Oryzias latipes: one gene and its partners. The protein of the gene in region 2 purifies or fractionates together with the protein of the main gene of each other region. This does not show direct contact. Links are inferred from orthologs where the notes say so. Each region holds a gene or a part of one and is shown on either strand. Other genes may lie near its edges.

Region 1 (3,132 bases), on a different chromosome or scaffold from region 2:
ATGTGGTCGGATGAATGCAGACTCATTAGAACTTTTTGAGTCAATGTCAAAAACACTCGTCAGCGTACCTTCATACCCGACATCTCCCCATCACTGCAGTTGCTAGCGTCCTCCAGGTTAAAGCACACACAGACCAAGCGCAAAGGTTTGGAACAAAGAATGTTTCTATTCTGAGTACAACCCTCGTTTGACGTTTAAACAAATGCCATATGCATGTCTTTGTGTGCTGCTGCCACAGGGAGGCAGCCTCAGAGATGAGTTGAACGTTTTCACTTTGCGGTCATGACTTTTCCGTTTTTCCTAATTGTGTCTTAATTGGACATAAAAAAGCAAAACAAAAAAAAGAGGACATTTACACTTCTGCTATTTATTTCTCTTTTAGTAAAGAGTATATATATATATTTTTTTATCATTTCTTCTATATGTTGATTAGAAAAGCTTGTTTTTAAAGTTCTGGAGCATTTATGAGCTGCAGCTTCTGCATTTGGGGCAAGAGGTTGAGGAGGATCTTTGAGGGGAAATGTTTATCTGTTGATCAATACAGTTTCTTCCCCACAATATTGGAGCCTTTGGCACATAAACTGTGTTTGTCTGCAGAAAAACGACACGTTTTGTGGTTTAAAAGCATACATGTACTTTTTATGTCTTCACACTTTATTGCTGTAGAATCTCTTCACATTCCTAAAATGTGCACAAATCTGCTCTATAAAATGAAAAAATAAAAACAGAGGTAATGGGCAAGTATTCACAAAGACGATTGGTTAAGTTTGTCTTATTTTGTGTCATTTTTGTCATTATGAGGAAACAATTCAAAAGTCTTGACCTTTTGACCATCAGAAGACAAACGGAGCAGCAGCTGTTGGTTTTTCAAAAGCCTTTGACAAAGAGAGCCTGGACACATGTGCGTTCTTTAATGTTTTAATTGGCGTTTTAACCACCATGTTTCTCAATTTTTCCGAGTTTTTCCAGCTTAGAATGCTGATCAGGCACATCTGTGGTCATCTAGATTGAATTTCCTCAGCGGGAGCTTGATGTCATGCGGGGATGTGGGGTTCATCTGAGGAATGTTCCCGATATGAAGCTTCGAGATGTTTGTTTGTTTTTTTATTTTTATTTCTTCTTTTGTTGTAACTTTGGAGGCTTAAACGCACACAAACAAACGACCGTGAGTCCGTCCTGAAAGCGCAAACAGTTTGACGCCGGTGCCGAATCCGAGCTGGTCTCTGCCGAACTCCGGACTGCGCTACCCGCTGTGCTCTGCTCGCTCCGCAGGTCCATTACATCCTGCAGGAGGTGGTGATGGGGGGCATGGTGCTGGAGACCAACATGAACGAGATCGTGGCGCAGGTCGAGGTGCAGAACCGCATGGAGAAGTCAGAGGTCAGAGCGGCGCTGCCCGCATCAAAGGGCAACACTTCACAGGCTTCTTTAGCTCATCAGCTGCAGCTGGTGTGACGGCGAAAAGCGGAGGTCCCGCGAGGTTTCGGTGACTCTGAGGGTTAAGGAAAAGCAAAAACAGACCAGTCAGAGCCTCTTAAAGTGACTGCTGTCATGAAAAGAAACGTCAGGAAGTTGCAGAAAAACTTCCCTCACATTGTCTGATTGACATCTAAAACTCTGCTTTTAGAACATCTGGAAAAAACGGTCTCAAATCCAAAATGTCTGTTCGTGATTAATGACAGAAATATCTCCTCGTACTCCGGATGATTGACACTTCCTGGTGTCTTCTTTCTTGTTTTAAACGAGCTGTTTTTACAGCCTAAACATATTGGTCGGTCTAAACTCCTCAGCATCTTCTGGGGAGGTTGCCAACCCGTCCCCAGCGTCAGCATTTCAACTTTCCATGCTTGTGAAGCCGCTATGTATTTTAAAGGTGTTCTCTCCCCCCCCCCCCCCCCCCCCCCCCGCACAGGGAGGTCTGTCTGCGGCCCCCGCTCGTGCCGTTTCCGCCGTGAAGAACATGAACCTTCCAGAGATTCCCCGCAACATCAACATCGGGGACATCAACATCAAAGTGCCGAGCCTCTCCCCGTTCTGAGGAGCGTCCCCCCCCCCCCCCCCATCTTGGTGGTTATGGTCCCTGCTTCCCTTCGCCGTGTTGCAGGTCCCCCTCCAGTCCCAGATGCTCATTCCTGTGGCTGCATGCGGAGAGGCAGTCCCATTGAAACAGGCTTTGAAATCATTTGCACTCCTCCATCGGCCTCACGTTCATCAGCAGCCTGACTGAAAGGCTTCAGGACTTTAACTTTTTCCTGAGACTTTAATTGCTCAAACACATTTGTTTTGTTTTCTTTTTATTGTGATTTATTCTTTTTATCCCCCCCCCCCGTCTGGAATATATTTCATTTCGGGAGTCGGTTTGAAAGCTGAATGTTTCCCCTAAGTGAAGCTCGTGCCGACAGCTGAAACGCTGACTTCCAGCAGACCAACATCTGGTTGTTCATCTGTAAAGTTGTGTAATTAGTTGTGTTTTGTGGTCCCAATGTCGTGTTTTACCATGAAATGTCGTCAAAGTGGAGTCTTATATCTCAGTCTGCAAGGCATTTCTTGACAAGGTAAATGAAGTAATAAATTCAACCCATCCATCTTGTCGGTGCTGTCTTGGTATCTGCAGGTGAGCAGGTCTTCCGGTGAAACCAGCAGAACATTCTGTACCTCAGGCGGTCGGAGGTTTTGCTCAACCCCAATGAAGTTTTTTAGTCTTGTTGATCCAGCCGCATTCTTTTGGTCCCTCTTGCCGCTAATTTAGGGATCTATTTTTTTTTTTTTCTCAACTGAGGAAGTTGTTCCCTCCCCTGAGTTCCCAGGAAAACCTGCGAGCGCTCCTCACCTCCCACTCCCACTCCCAGCCTCACAGATGCGAAGGGCTCACATCAGGCAGGGATCTCTGCAGCTCCGCTCCCATGTTTCAGGCTTTCTGAGACCGGTACGTACACTTCTGCTGGAAATTCATGCAACACACTTGGATTCACTTAAGCTGTGCCTGCTTTCACTGCCAGGGGCGCCTTTTTTTAAAAAAAGAAAAAAATTTTTTTTTATAGCTGCCGCCATGTGGTAAACATGTTTTTTGTGCAGTAAATGATTTCCTGATGTTCAGCACAAGTTTACAAATGACATCAAAGTTGGTTTCTT
Region 2 (4,116 bases):
CTGCAACATGAAACCCTTAATTGACTATAAATAAAGTTTATGAAAAATCATAGAAATGACAAAGGAACAGAGTTATGCCAAAATTTAATTGCAACAACCTCCAATTTAAACTATGCTTTAAGAGGCTAAACTGTATATTGAAAGTAATTTTCTTTGTGGTTGAAAACTTTTATCCAGCTCTGAATTTTTATAACCTGAGGATAGGATGACATCTTCATATATGCAGTCCTCCTCATAATCCATAGCCAGCCCTAGTCACCCCATTGCTCTCCCCATGAATCACTTACTTCTGAGAGCTGACTTGATATGACATGAGAGTGAAGTTTCCATCTGGAGGGATGAAAGACAAAACCCGTTCCGACTCCCAGCGTTTGAACCTCACGCAGGGATGAAAGCTCACATCATCCAGGAGACGAGGATTCTGTCAATAATACATCAATAATGAGCAAAATTTAGACTTGAACAAAAGTGCACAGATGATCTAAATACAGATATGGGGGGAAATGAGCCCACCATGAAGGACAAAGTGAGATCCGGCATCCCGGTAAGCCTCACACAAGCTTCAATGACCCCCTGGATCTCTGCAAATACTGTTGTCCCTGTTCAGTAAACAAAGTCACCGGTATTACTGTGCATTTAACTGCATTTCCCACCAACTGCTTTATTCTTCTCTTCTTTTCAAGTACCTGATTTATCGAGAATTGCATCAATTTCTTCGATCACATCAAAATATGCCTCATTGTTTGTGTACTTGACACCAGCCCTTCTCCATGGAACATTAGACAGCTGACCTGTTGGCAAAGTGTTTCCAACATTGCTACCTCCTGGAAAAAACAAATGAAATGTAATGTTAACGCTGCCCTTCAGTGTGACTTAAAGAGCCAGAAGTTCACAATGTTCCTTGTGACGTTTGTTTACCTGTTAGTGTATTGACGACTGACCGCAGAATGTTGGGAGGCTTTATCATCTCCTTGAGGACATTGGACTCGGTGGCGAGCGGAAATCCGTTGTCGAGCATCTCCTCCAATAGCTCGTAAACAATCACTACATTATCCTTGATTACAGTTTCTGAACATTCTCCAAAGTAATCCTGCAAAAAAAAAAAAAAAATGTTACTGAAAGGACAACAGTGGCTGTCCCTTTGAGCAGCGTCAGCAGACCAATATGGGCAATAACGTAAGTTCTGTGTTCTATTAGAAAGAGTGTAGCACAATTGAGAGTGCTGTACTTCTAAGCACTTGAAGAGCCTTTTGATATTACTTTGGATCGCAGATTTAATAAAATCCCTTTAATTTGCATTAAAGCACACAAAACTATCAATTTAATATTTTCAAAGATATTTTTTGTGTTTTTCCTTTTCTGCTTTGTCACCATACCTGCATGTACACATGGTACATTTACTATTAACTGAAATCTGACAATTCTTCCTTTTTTTAACATGAAACCCATTCAGCAACATTTCTTACAGTGCCCCATGACAATTTCCGTCATAAACACAGTTTAGTTTAGACAAAATAAAACATAAGTCACAAAGTAAAATATCTTTATCGTGTATTAACAAATCCTTCCATAGCCATTTAGCCTGCATGGGGTATATAATGGGATTTTATTAAAAAGACGTATGATATATGAGTCAACACTCTCCAAGCTCTTTTAAGTAATCTTATTTATGGTTTTATACAACGTCTTTAACGCTTCCAAGAATAAAATCATTTTAACCCTAACCAACATCAGGCACAGCACTTTGCATTACCAGTCCCCAATTTGGAGGTACTGGTTTGGCCACTTTATTAGGTTTATAATTGGTGTATTCACTTGTATTTTAATTATTTTGTATGTCTTGTGTTTCTTTTTAATGGTGTTGACATTTACACTTCGAGTCTGAAATAAAAATACTTTTTTATTGGTTTAAATGATAATTCCAAAGACGATCCCTGGTTTAAGTCAGCACAAAATACTAACTGCAGTCAAGGTTAAGGTTGCTGCTGAAATTCTTATATTTGGCCAAACTAATGCCTCAAAGAATGTCTTATAAAGGACTTTTTAGTTATATCTTTAATATATATTATATACTTACATGAAAGTGCAGCAAGAAGGAAACTTATTCCTAGAGCTTGACTAGAAGCACTTAAGATCTGGCACACACTTATCACAAAGAAGACATTCAGGTAAGAAATCAATACTACCAAGAATGTATCTCCAACTCTGTGCAGGAACTCGATGACAAAAAGTGGAGGCACTTCAGTCTGGATGGCAGACAGGAAGAAGATCTTGTCCCTGTATATACTGATGAGATAGTGGTGTGGGGTCTGCAGGACAGGGGCCACATTTTCTGGGTCTACTGCTTTTTCCTTAGCTTCGAAAAAGTAATCACAAACACTCCGGCTGATAACACTCTTCCAGTGTTTCTCCAGGAAAATGTCTCCTGAGTGGTTAATCAGGAACAGACTGTCGATCATCTCAGCTGCAGAAGGAAACGTTGTTGTTTGAGTTGGTTCTCTTAGACCAGATGGCACACGATAACTACACAATGTCGGTCACATGATTCAAATAACTTAAACTAAACAGTTTGTAAAAAATAAAAAAAATGAAAAGACTTTTGAAATATTATCTGAAAAGTTAAAAGTTTATTGTGCTGAGTGAGATAACAGAAAGAAAAATATGAATCATACTTACCAACTTATCGTTAATCCTGTCAGAGGAAGACCAACATGTAAAGTGCGAAATATTTTTACAGCTTTTACAAAGTTTTAGCTGTAGATCACTTGCTTTAAAAAAAGAAAAAACTCGATTCAACTACAGGGAAGAATACTCAGTTGGTGCCAATATGGAAGTATATCTCATAGGCATCTCAGGGGACGCCTACAGCTATGTGCACACGTAAGCAGAAAGAACTGAATTGTGCTACTAGACTAATAGTTGAAAAACGGGTATATTTACGCTATTGAAGTGGCATTCACGATAATCTAATAAAGTGTAATATTCTTCCCCTCCATTTTTTTATTTAAAGTTAGTGGGTTTATTTTTAATCAGGCAAAATCAGAGGACAGCTGTTTTGCTCTCATTGTTGTCAGTCAGTGGGTTAAAAAAACCGGTGTATAGTTTTGCAGGCAACCTTTGACAACGATCTAAGCCGCGCATCAGACCATTCAGTTTTCGGTGTTCTTTAAAATAGCTAATCCATTGTTGTATGTCAGCATTATTGTGTGGAAAGGTTTTGTTAGAATATTACAAATTTTTAAAGAAAAACTATTTGGAAAACTCAATATGATTTTTTGTATTTTGATGGCATTTTAACGTGTACTGTTGTGAAACGTACGCATTTCCCCATGGTATAACACAATTAATGACAGTATTTGGAAGTTTCCGAAGTTTTATTCACCATTTTATTGTATGTATATGATTAGAAAAAGTAGCACCTATAACTACTACAGCTCCTCGTTAAACTGAGTTGGGCAGGAACCATACTGTCTATGGCAGCAACAACTTACCTACAAGTCACTACCCAGGGAAAACAACAAACTTCCTTGATACGACTGCATTTTCGAAAGATAATTGCAAAGACAAAAGGATTAATATGGGGGGGGGGTAGATTTTGTAAACAATGTGAAGAAACATTCATATATTTAATTTCGACCTATGATCACAAAAAATTAGTTTGGAAGTAATTGTCAGTATGATATAATGACTCAATTTTTTCTCGATTTCTTCCTGACATGGAAAAACAGATCCTGTATGGTTTTACTGATTATGAAAAGTTACTTCACAATTTTATTGGTTACATTTCCTGATTTTATTAACAAAATATTACATTCATTAAACTACATTTGGCTTTAAACCTCAAAATTCCTTTGAATTAATTGCTCAAATCAGACATTATATACACCCAGTACCTACAGAACAGCAGTTAAAACCTATCATCTGTCTCAGCTTTATAGATTAAATAGCTACTTTTATTTATGTTGTTTTTACATTTTTGAAGAAAAAAAAAGGTATCAAAGTTAGGAGGAGGAGGCAGGAGGAAGGGTTATGGTGAAAATTAGATGCAAGGGTCAAAGACTTGAATGCAGGTTTGGCCACATGCAACTGAGTTACAATCATTCAATCATTGGAAAA
Region 3 (3,568 bases), on a different chromosome or scaffold from region 2:
AAGCTCTTGACTCAGTATGTCCTCAACCTGGCCAAGTATGACCAGAACTATGACATCCGTGACCGCGCACGCTTCATTCGTCAGCTCATTGTTCCCACCGAGAAGAGTGGTGCTCTCAGCAAGTACGCAAAGAAACTGTTCCTCGCCCTCAAACCTGCTCCGGTCCTCGAGTCTCCATTTAAAGGTAAAGACGCTCAGAGACTCTAATTTATGCTTCCTTCCGTGTATTTAAGTCACAGATTCCGGTTTCTGTCAGTCATTCTTGTGGGGTTTTTTTTTCCAGATCGAGACCACTTCCAGCTGGGTTCACTGTCCCACCTGCTTAATGCCAAAGCCGGGGGCTACCAGGAGTTGCCTGACTGGCCCGAAGCCGCCCCTGACCCCTCCGTGCGCAACGTGGAGGTGAAGGAGTCTGTGCGTGCAGTGGGAACAGTAACATACAGAGACACAGGGGCCCTCTGGGGTCTACAGGGGCCCCAAAAGATGGAGGGGAGCGAGGGTTGCTCCTTTCGCAGAGCAGTGCTTCAGAGGGGGTTGAAGAGGGTCGCCAGAGTTACCTCAAACTCCAATATAACACTGATTTTCTCCCACTCATCATTCATTCATCTTCTGCTCGTTAGCATGGCGACCTCATCGGGATCGTCTCGCCACACGGATGCTGCCTAACACCCATAGAGGAGGAATGAAGTGTTTTCCCAAACCTAACTAAAGCTCAAAAGAAAAAGAAAAAAATCAAAATCTGTCTTTGGAGATTTTATGTGGAGTTCAGCGCTTCCCATGATCCTCTCTGCTACACTGGCTTCGGTTGGGCAGCAGCCTCCTCGCCCCGCCCACATCCCTCCTCACCGCTGTGTGAGCCACCAGCACATGCTCTGCAGAAGGGAGCTGGCTTATTTCAAGTCTGCAGGGACACCACTGCAAAAGTTCACACCAAATCTGTTTCATTTGGATTCTTTTTCCCAAAATGTGCTCAATTCAAGTTTATAAGGGAGTAAAATGATCTGCAAAGCTCTCCTCTTCTCCAGCCCCTTCGCTTCATGTGCTTCTGGTGCAACAGTTTGATCTCAGAGAAACCAGGACATCAAGGCTTAGGTGTCACGTAGCGATGACCCTAAGGCTTGATTTTGTTGCATGATGTTGTTCATAACTCCTCATTTAATCAGCTGTGATGCAGATTTCAAGATGAGGCCACAGGTGCAGTCCATGGAGACACTGTTTCTGTTCTGCTTGTAGAGATTTGTCACTTTGATAGGAACAAAAAAAAGTTTATCTGTACTTTTGAATAGTTTAACATGATCTTATGCAGACATGCAGCTGTGAGGTAGTTTTTGTTTTACTTAAAACATACATTTCTTTTAACTCTGGTTAAACAATCATGGTAATTTTATACTGGTTTCTAAAATACAAAAAAAGTTATAAAAGAAAGTTTTAATGACTCGATTTTGGCTCATTTTAAGTTTCATTTTTAAAGAAACTCAACAAAACAAAACCCTTAAATTCAAAAGAGCCAATGGTTCATTTAAAGAACATAGAAAACATGTTTTTTTTAAAACAAGGGGAAAACAAAAACTTTTTGTCTAATTTGTACGTTTCTGAAGTGCAATTAATAATTATGAATTAATCAGCTAGTAAAAAATCTGGCAATTATTTAAATGTAGGCTTTATTACCTGGAACTAATGAAATAAATTAGTTTTTGTTTTGTTTATTAGTAACAAAATTCACCCTTTTTTTTCCTGGTAACAAAGATTTTTCACAATAATTCAAATAAATTGTCAAACTAAAGTTGACAAAAATGGGTGTGGTGATGCTTCATACGTGAAGCCTCAAAGCAGCAAACCACTCTGAAGCAGCGCTTAAAATGACCACCAGCCAGGAGAGCCATTCATCAGCAGCACTCACCCGCTGTCTCCCCCTCTGCACACCGCACGCAGCCGGAGGAGGTCGTGACCTCCAGCGAGGGGCGGATCAGCCTGCTTGGAGACTGGCGAGAGGTGCTCCTCCCTGTGGTGTGGAGTGCAGTGGAGTCTCCAGGACTCTTTTTCTTCTCTCATTTTAATTCCTGCCTTTCACCGCTATGATTGGATACGATGGTCTAATCTAATCTAATCCTTACCCTCAAATCTATTCCTTGTTAAATAAAAATAGGTTTAAAAATGGACAAATATTACGATTAAAACCTGATCTGGGAACTCAAAGCTACAGGGTGTTTCCCTTTTCCCCCTTCCTGCACTCTTGTGAAATTTGTGACACAACTGTCACAAATCCAGTGTGGTTCTGTGTTTTTCCTCTTCCTCATCTTCATCATTTAAGCATGATTTGATTGGAGGAAAAACACTCATACTAATTGCATCTATGTCTGTTTTCTTGCCGTGTTATCAAGCAGGAATAAGAAAGGTTCTTTGGTTGCAGTGTATCTGCAGTTTTGAACTCAGGTTGTGTCCAAATTCCTTCACTACTTAGCGTGCTATAAAGGGCGGTCGCCATTTTTTTCAGCGTGCAAAAATAAATCCAGTGCCCAAGAAATTACCCAGAAGTCTCTGCGACAAACCAGTGTGCATCATTGCTCACTAGACTGATGAATATAGACCACGATCCATTGCGTTTTAACAATTTTTCATGTAAAAGAAATGCATTTTAAACCTTTTTTTATTATAAATCATCCAGTTTTCATCATCAGAAGACGGTGTATTCATGAATAGTCTTCTTAAAATGATCATATTAATTAGGTTTATACTTCAGGAAATCTGTGATGTCATATTTGCCATTAAATAAATGTAGTGATCATGGTGTCGGAATTGCTTTTAAAATTTAGGGCACTTGATAGCCCCGCACTTTATAGTTTTTAAGTAGTTAGGCAGTGGAGAGGGAATTGGGACACAGTCTGTTATATTGGAGTTCTAATTATGGCCGTTTTGGAGCTAATTTTTTAATCTGGAGGGTTTTTTTCTTTTGTCTCTGTAATCCAGACTGTTCTCACACGTTGTGATGTGTTGCCCTTTAACCTTTCCTCTGTCTGATTTTTACTGCTCTCCTGACTTTTCTCTAAAGAAAAAAACTGTTCTTCTTTTTCTCACCCCCCCTCATCTCCATTCCAACCTTTTTTTCTTTTCTACGTCCGCCAGGTTTTTGCGCTGCTTGAAAGAGTCACAACACTAACGAGTGTGAGTCAGTTAGCGGCAAAGAGCCAAACATCCTTGAGCCCCAACCCACACAGCCGCTGAGAACCCAAATGCTTCATGACACCCCCCTTTTGCCTGACCTACTAGTTGCTGTTCTGTGCTTAGCTGAGCCAAAGCCCCCCCCCCCCCAAGAGTCAGCACCCTCTTTCCCCCGCCATTAAAGAAGTGATTGTTTCAGCAGGGCCTCCTCTCAAACTACCTCGGCGTGGGTCTAAACTGGGTTTGGGACACTTCCACGCTCACCTTGTAGGAGAAATCACTTCTCTTAATGGAAAAACTCCCTGTTTGTTTTTTTAAAAGCTGCAACTGGACATGAAGGCAACACCTGGTGCTCAAAAAAAAAAAAAGGCTGCCATGCAACTGTTCCTGTATGAGCTGTCAGATCTGC
Region 4 (3,568 bases), on a different chromosome or scaffold from region 2:
CAAAGCTAACAGAAAGTTGTTTCAGCCCAAAAAACGTTAACAATGATTAAACCCATAGATGTCAACAGAGCATCTGTTTCAACTTTTTGAGCTCTCAGACACTTACATGTCGTAGTTCTGGTCTTCTGTCTCCTGCTGCACTGACAGCTCCTCCAGCGTGGCGTCCATGTCCAGCTGGTTGGTCTCCAGTTGCCTCAGGAGCGTCTCTCTCTGCACACATACACCGAGGCCACATGGGACATTTGCAGGACTGAAGCGATACGGTGAAGGACAAAAAAGTGACCTGCAGCTGAAGGAAAGGAATGTTGAAGAATCTGTGGAGGTACTTCAAGCCGAACCCGTTCCTCATGGACGACTCTGCGTAGTGGATGTAAGAGGATCCCATCGGCCTGCAAAAAAAAGAAGAAAAAAAAGAAAGAGCCGCTGGTTAGTTAATGGTAAAGAAAAGCTTAACTGTCCTCACAATGAGAGGTCAAAGTTCACCTTAAAATTGTTCAGCATCTTCATTTAGCATCTGAACAAAGGGGATCAAAGTGTGTCGACTCTTTGGCTGTAAGCAGCTCTGTGATTGATGAATGTAGGACTCCCACTGCTACAAAACCATTCCTGACGGGGTTTCCTGCTTTCCCTTCAGTTTGCATGAGTGTGGACTAAAAATGAGCCGACATTCATGTCCTAAAGTCCGTCCTCCCATCAGCCTTGCTGTTACAGCCTCGTCTTTAGAGGAATTCTGACTCCAGGTTGCTGATGTTCGGATCGTCCAGTGCAAACAGTAACATGTTTGTCTGTGTCTGCAGACTTAGCTGGAAGTGTACCGGTGTAGCGCCTCATTGCCTGTTAATGCAGGAAACACCATTCCAGTCCCACGGCGTTTAATCAGTGTGGACATGCACATAAAAGCAACGATCAGCTACTGAGGGGGCTGTGTGGACAGGAAGTGGAATGTGAAACGGTGGTGGAACCTTTCAGTATTCGTGAATCCTTGATCCACAAAAATAAACTTTTTAGTGGCAAAAAACTGTTGCTTTGGATGTTGACGGAGGAATCGATTATTTTTTAATGAGTAAAAACTGCTTTAAAAACCTCCATTTCTGCTGTCTTCAGACCACATCTGTTGATTCATTGAAAAGCATTTGTTCTTTTTTGGAAGGTTTTCCAAAAACAATCTTAACAAATAACCAAGATCCAGTAGTTCTCATTTTATTGTCTCCAATGTGGATGTTTGTATTGATTTAAAATAAAAAACCCACAACTTTTATTTGAAGCGACAGAAAATATTTTAAAAAATCCTTTTTTTTTTGTAGACAAGTTGGCAGCAAATGTCTTTTTGTAATAAGCAGCTAAAGCAGAAGACGGTTCGGATTGGGTCAGATTGTGGGTCAAAAAGCAGACCATCAGAACTGATAGTAACGTTCAGTTACCTGTTCAGACCAGCGATCAGGTCTCTGATGTCGTCGGGCAGGATGACCCGGTGCTCGCCCATGTCCCTGTGGTTCCCCAGAACACACACCGGGACGTGGGTGGGCACCTTGGGCAGCTCTCTCATGATGTAGCTGAAGGTCCTGGAAGTGATAAAGAAGAGAGAACCTTCAAAGGCTGCAGACAGAGAGCTTTCAGCAGCAACATTTGGAGAAATGAAGGGAAACAGACATTTCCATCCGTTCTGGAAAGTGACGACAACTGGATTTCATGTTCCGCTATAGACCGATTCAAGCAGCATCATAAGGGTGATGAACGCACAAAGGTTTTTTAATGCTGATCTTCAGAGCAAAGAGAGAAACAATGAGCACTGCTTGATCAAGAAGAATGTTTTCTTTTATGGGCTTCAGTTTATGCACCAATCATTGGTTTATCAGCTGCTGTTCAAACTTAAACATCGTCAGACAAATCCATTCTGAATCAAGCTGAAATAGTCCAGAGGCCCCAACTTGGTCTTTTTTATCTGCATTTAGTCTAAATGTTTTCCTTCCTCTTTGTAAAATTAATTTCAAAATACAAAACACAAAAAAGACCTTTCAGGGACTTTTATCTTTGAAGAGCAGTCATTGATGAATAAAATCAAATAATCTATCAAATAGATGCAGGTTTTGTTTTTAAATGAACACACAGAAAAGCGCACATCTGCAGACTAAAGAGACCAGCAGGTTTCTTTCTCGTCTTACATTTCTTAAGGCTGAATTTTTTTAAAATTGGAACAGATTGTATTTACAACCTGCAAAATCAATTCATGAAATTCAGGAAACTTTTTAAACCAAAATACTTTTGTTAAAACTTTTTATTAAGCAAAACAAAAGTGATTTGCAAAAAAGACGTACAAACATAATACATATCATATTAAATAATTGATCTCACAATAATAAACTTGTCATTCTTTAACAGATTTTCGTTTTTTTTTTTAAACCCGACAATTTCTAAACAGTCATAAATCATAAATCTCATGCTTCAACACAATGAACCCCTGCCCCCCTCTTCATGAAGGTCCCATTCAGATCATATATAAGAACTACACTGAGTGACCCCTCCCCCTCCAAACAGGAAGTACCTGCTGGCTCCATTAAGCCAAAACACCAAAAAGCTTCTTTAATGTGTTCTTGATAATCCTAATATTTTTCACTATGTTATTTTTTTCATGCAAGTTATTGCAATTATAAACTGACCAATCAGATGCCTCAGTAACAGTATGTAGTCTCACTTTAAACATCTGACAGATTCTCCCAAGCCCACTTTCAGGTGGTAGGGGTGTGTGGACTTCCAAGTTCATTCTTGGTTGGCAAGAGCGGTTGCCATGGAAACGTCGAACGGCCCGGCTCACAAGAAATGGCAACTTAATTGACTTCAATTTGTTGGACCTGGATTTTCATGGGTGATACCAGACCTGCTCGGTCCAGTTCTCGTATACAGTGGGGATAAAAAGTATTTAGTCAGCCACCAAATGTCCAAGCTGTCCCACTTGAAAAGATGAGGGAGGCTTGTAATTTTCATCATGGGTAAACTTCAACTATGGCAGAAAAAATGAGGAAAAAAAATCTCAAAAATCTTATTGTCTAATTTTTAAAGAATTTATTTGCAAATTATGGTGGAAAATAAGTATTTGGTCAATAACAAAAGTTCAACTCAATACTTTGGTAATGACAGCAGTCTTCCCAAGGTTTTCACAAACCTGTTGCTGGGATTTTGGCCCGTTCCTCCATGCAGATCTCCTCTAGAGCAGTGATGTCTTGGGGCTGTTGCTGGGCAACACAGACTTTCAACTCCCTCCAAAGATTTTCTATGGGGTTGAGATCTGAACACTGGCTAGGCCACTCCAGGACCTTGAAATGCTTCTTATGAAGTCATTCCTTTGTTACCCGGGCAGTGAGTTTGGGATCGTTGTCATGCTGGAAGACCCAGCCACGTTTCATCTTCAATTGCCTTGCTGATTGAAGGAGGTTTTCACTCAAAATCTGACTATACATGACCCCATTCACTCTTTCCTTTACACGGATCAATCATCCCGGTCCCTTTACTTGAAAACAGCCCTAAAGCATGATGCCCCCCCCCCCCCCCCATGCTTTACAGTAGGTATTAG

What was found.
Region 1: the proteins of AP-3 complex subunit mu-1 (region 2) and ap3s2 purify together in Homo sapiens (co-immunoprecipitation; 3 studies listed by BioGRID and IntAct, counting the BioPlex papers as one, with this or other methods). This does not show direct contact. The link is inferred for Oryzias latipes from reciprocal best matches to the Homo sapiens genes AP3M1 and AP3S2.
Region 3: the proteins of AP-3 complex subunit mu-1 (region 2) and ap3b2 purify together in Homo sapiens (co-immunoprecipitation; 3 studies listed by BioGRID and IntAct, counting the BioPlex papers as one, with this or other methods). This does not show direct contact. The link is inferred for Oryzias latipes from reciprocal best matches to the Homo sapiens genes AP3M1 and AP3B2.
Region 4: the proteins of AP-3 complex subunit mu-1 (region 2) and rabl6 purify together in Homo sapiens (co-immunoprecipitation; 3 studies listed by BioGRID and IntAct, counting the BioPlex papers as one, with this or other methods). This does not show direct contact. The link is inferred for Oryzias latipes from reciprocal best matches to the Homo sapiens genes AP3M1 and RABL6.

Annotation. Positions count from the first base shown.
Region 1 is NC_019861.2:32,344,415-32,347,546, reverse strand, and holds the end of ap3s2 (AP-3 complex subunit sigma-2), read left to right. Parts: intron 1-1,272; coding exon 1,273-1,380; intron 1,381-1,912; coding exon 1,913-2,038; 3' UTR 2,039-2,585; downstream 2,586-3,132. UniProt on the Homo sapiens protein: Part of the AP-3 complex, an adaptor-related complex which is not clathrin-associated. The complex is associated with the Golgi region as well as more peripheral structures.
Region 2 is NC_019873.2:23,928,955-23,933,070, forward strand, and holds the start of AP-3 complex subunit mu-1, read right to left. Parts: upstream 2,868-4,116; 5' UTR 2,677-2,867; intron 2,465-2,676; 5' UTR 2,460-2,464; coding exon 2,187-2,459; intron 1,091-2,186; coding exon 919-1,090; intron 825-918; coding exon 687-824; intron 600-686; coding exon 514-599; intron 422-513; coding exon 288-421; intron 1-287. UniProt on the Homo sapiens protein: Part of the AP-3 complex, an adaptor-related complex which is not clathrin-associated. The complex is associated with the Golgi region as well as more peripheral structures.
Region 3 is NC_019864.2:10,522,311-10,525,878, reverse strand, and holds part of ap3b2 (AP-3 complex subunit beta-2), read left to right. Parts: coding exon 1-184; intron 185-283; coding exon 284-414; intron 415-3,123; coding exon 3,124-3,162; intron 3,163-3,568.
Region 4 is NC_019867.2:28,386,855-28,390,422, reverse strand, and holds part of rabl6 (rab-like protein 6), read right to left. Parts: intron 1,563-3,568; coding exon 1,422-1,562; intron 390-1,421; coding exon 284-389; intron 211-283; coding exon 107-210; intron 1-106. UniProt on the Homo sapiens protein: May enhance cellular proliferation. May reduce growth inhibitory activity of CDKN2A.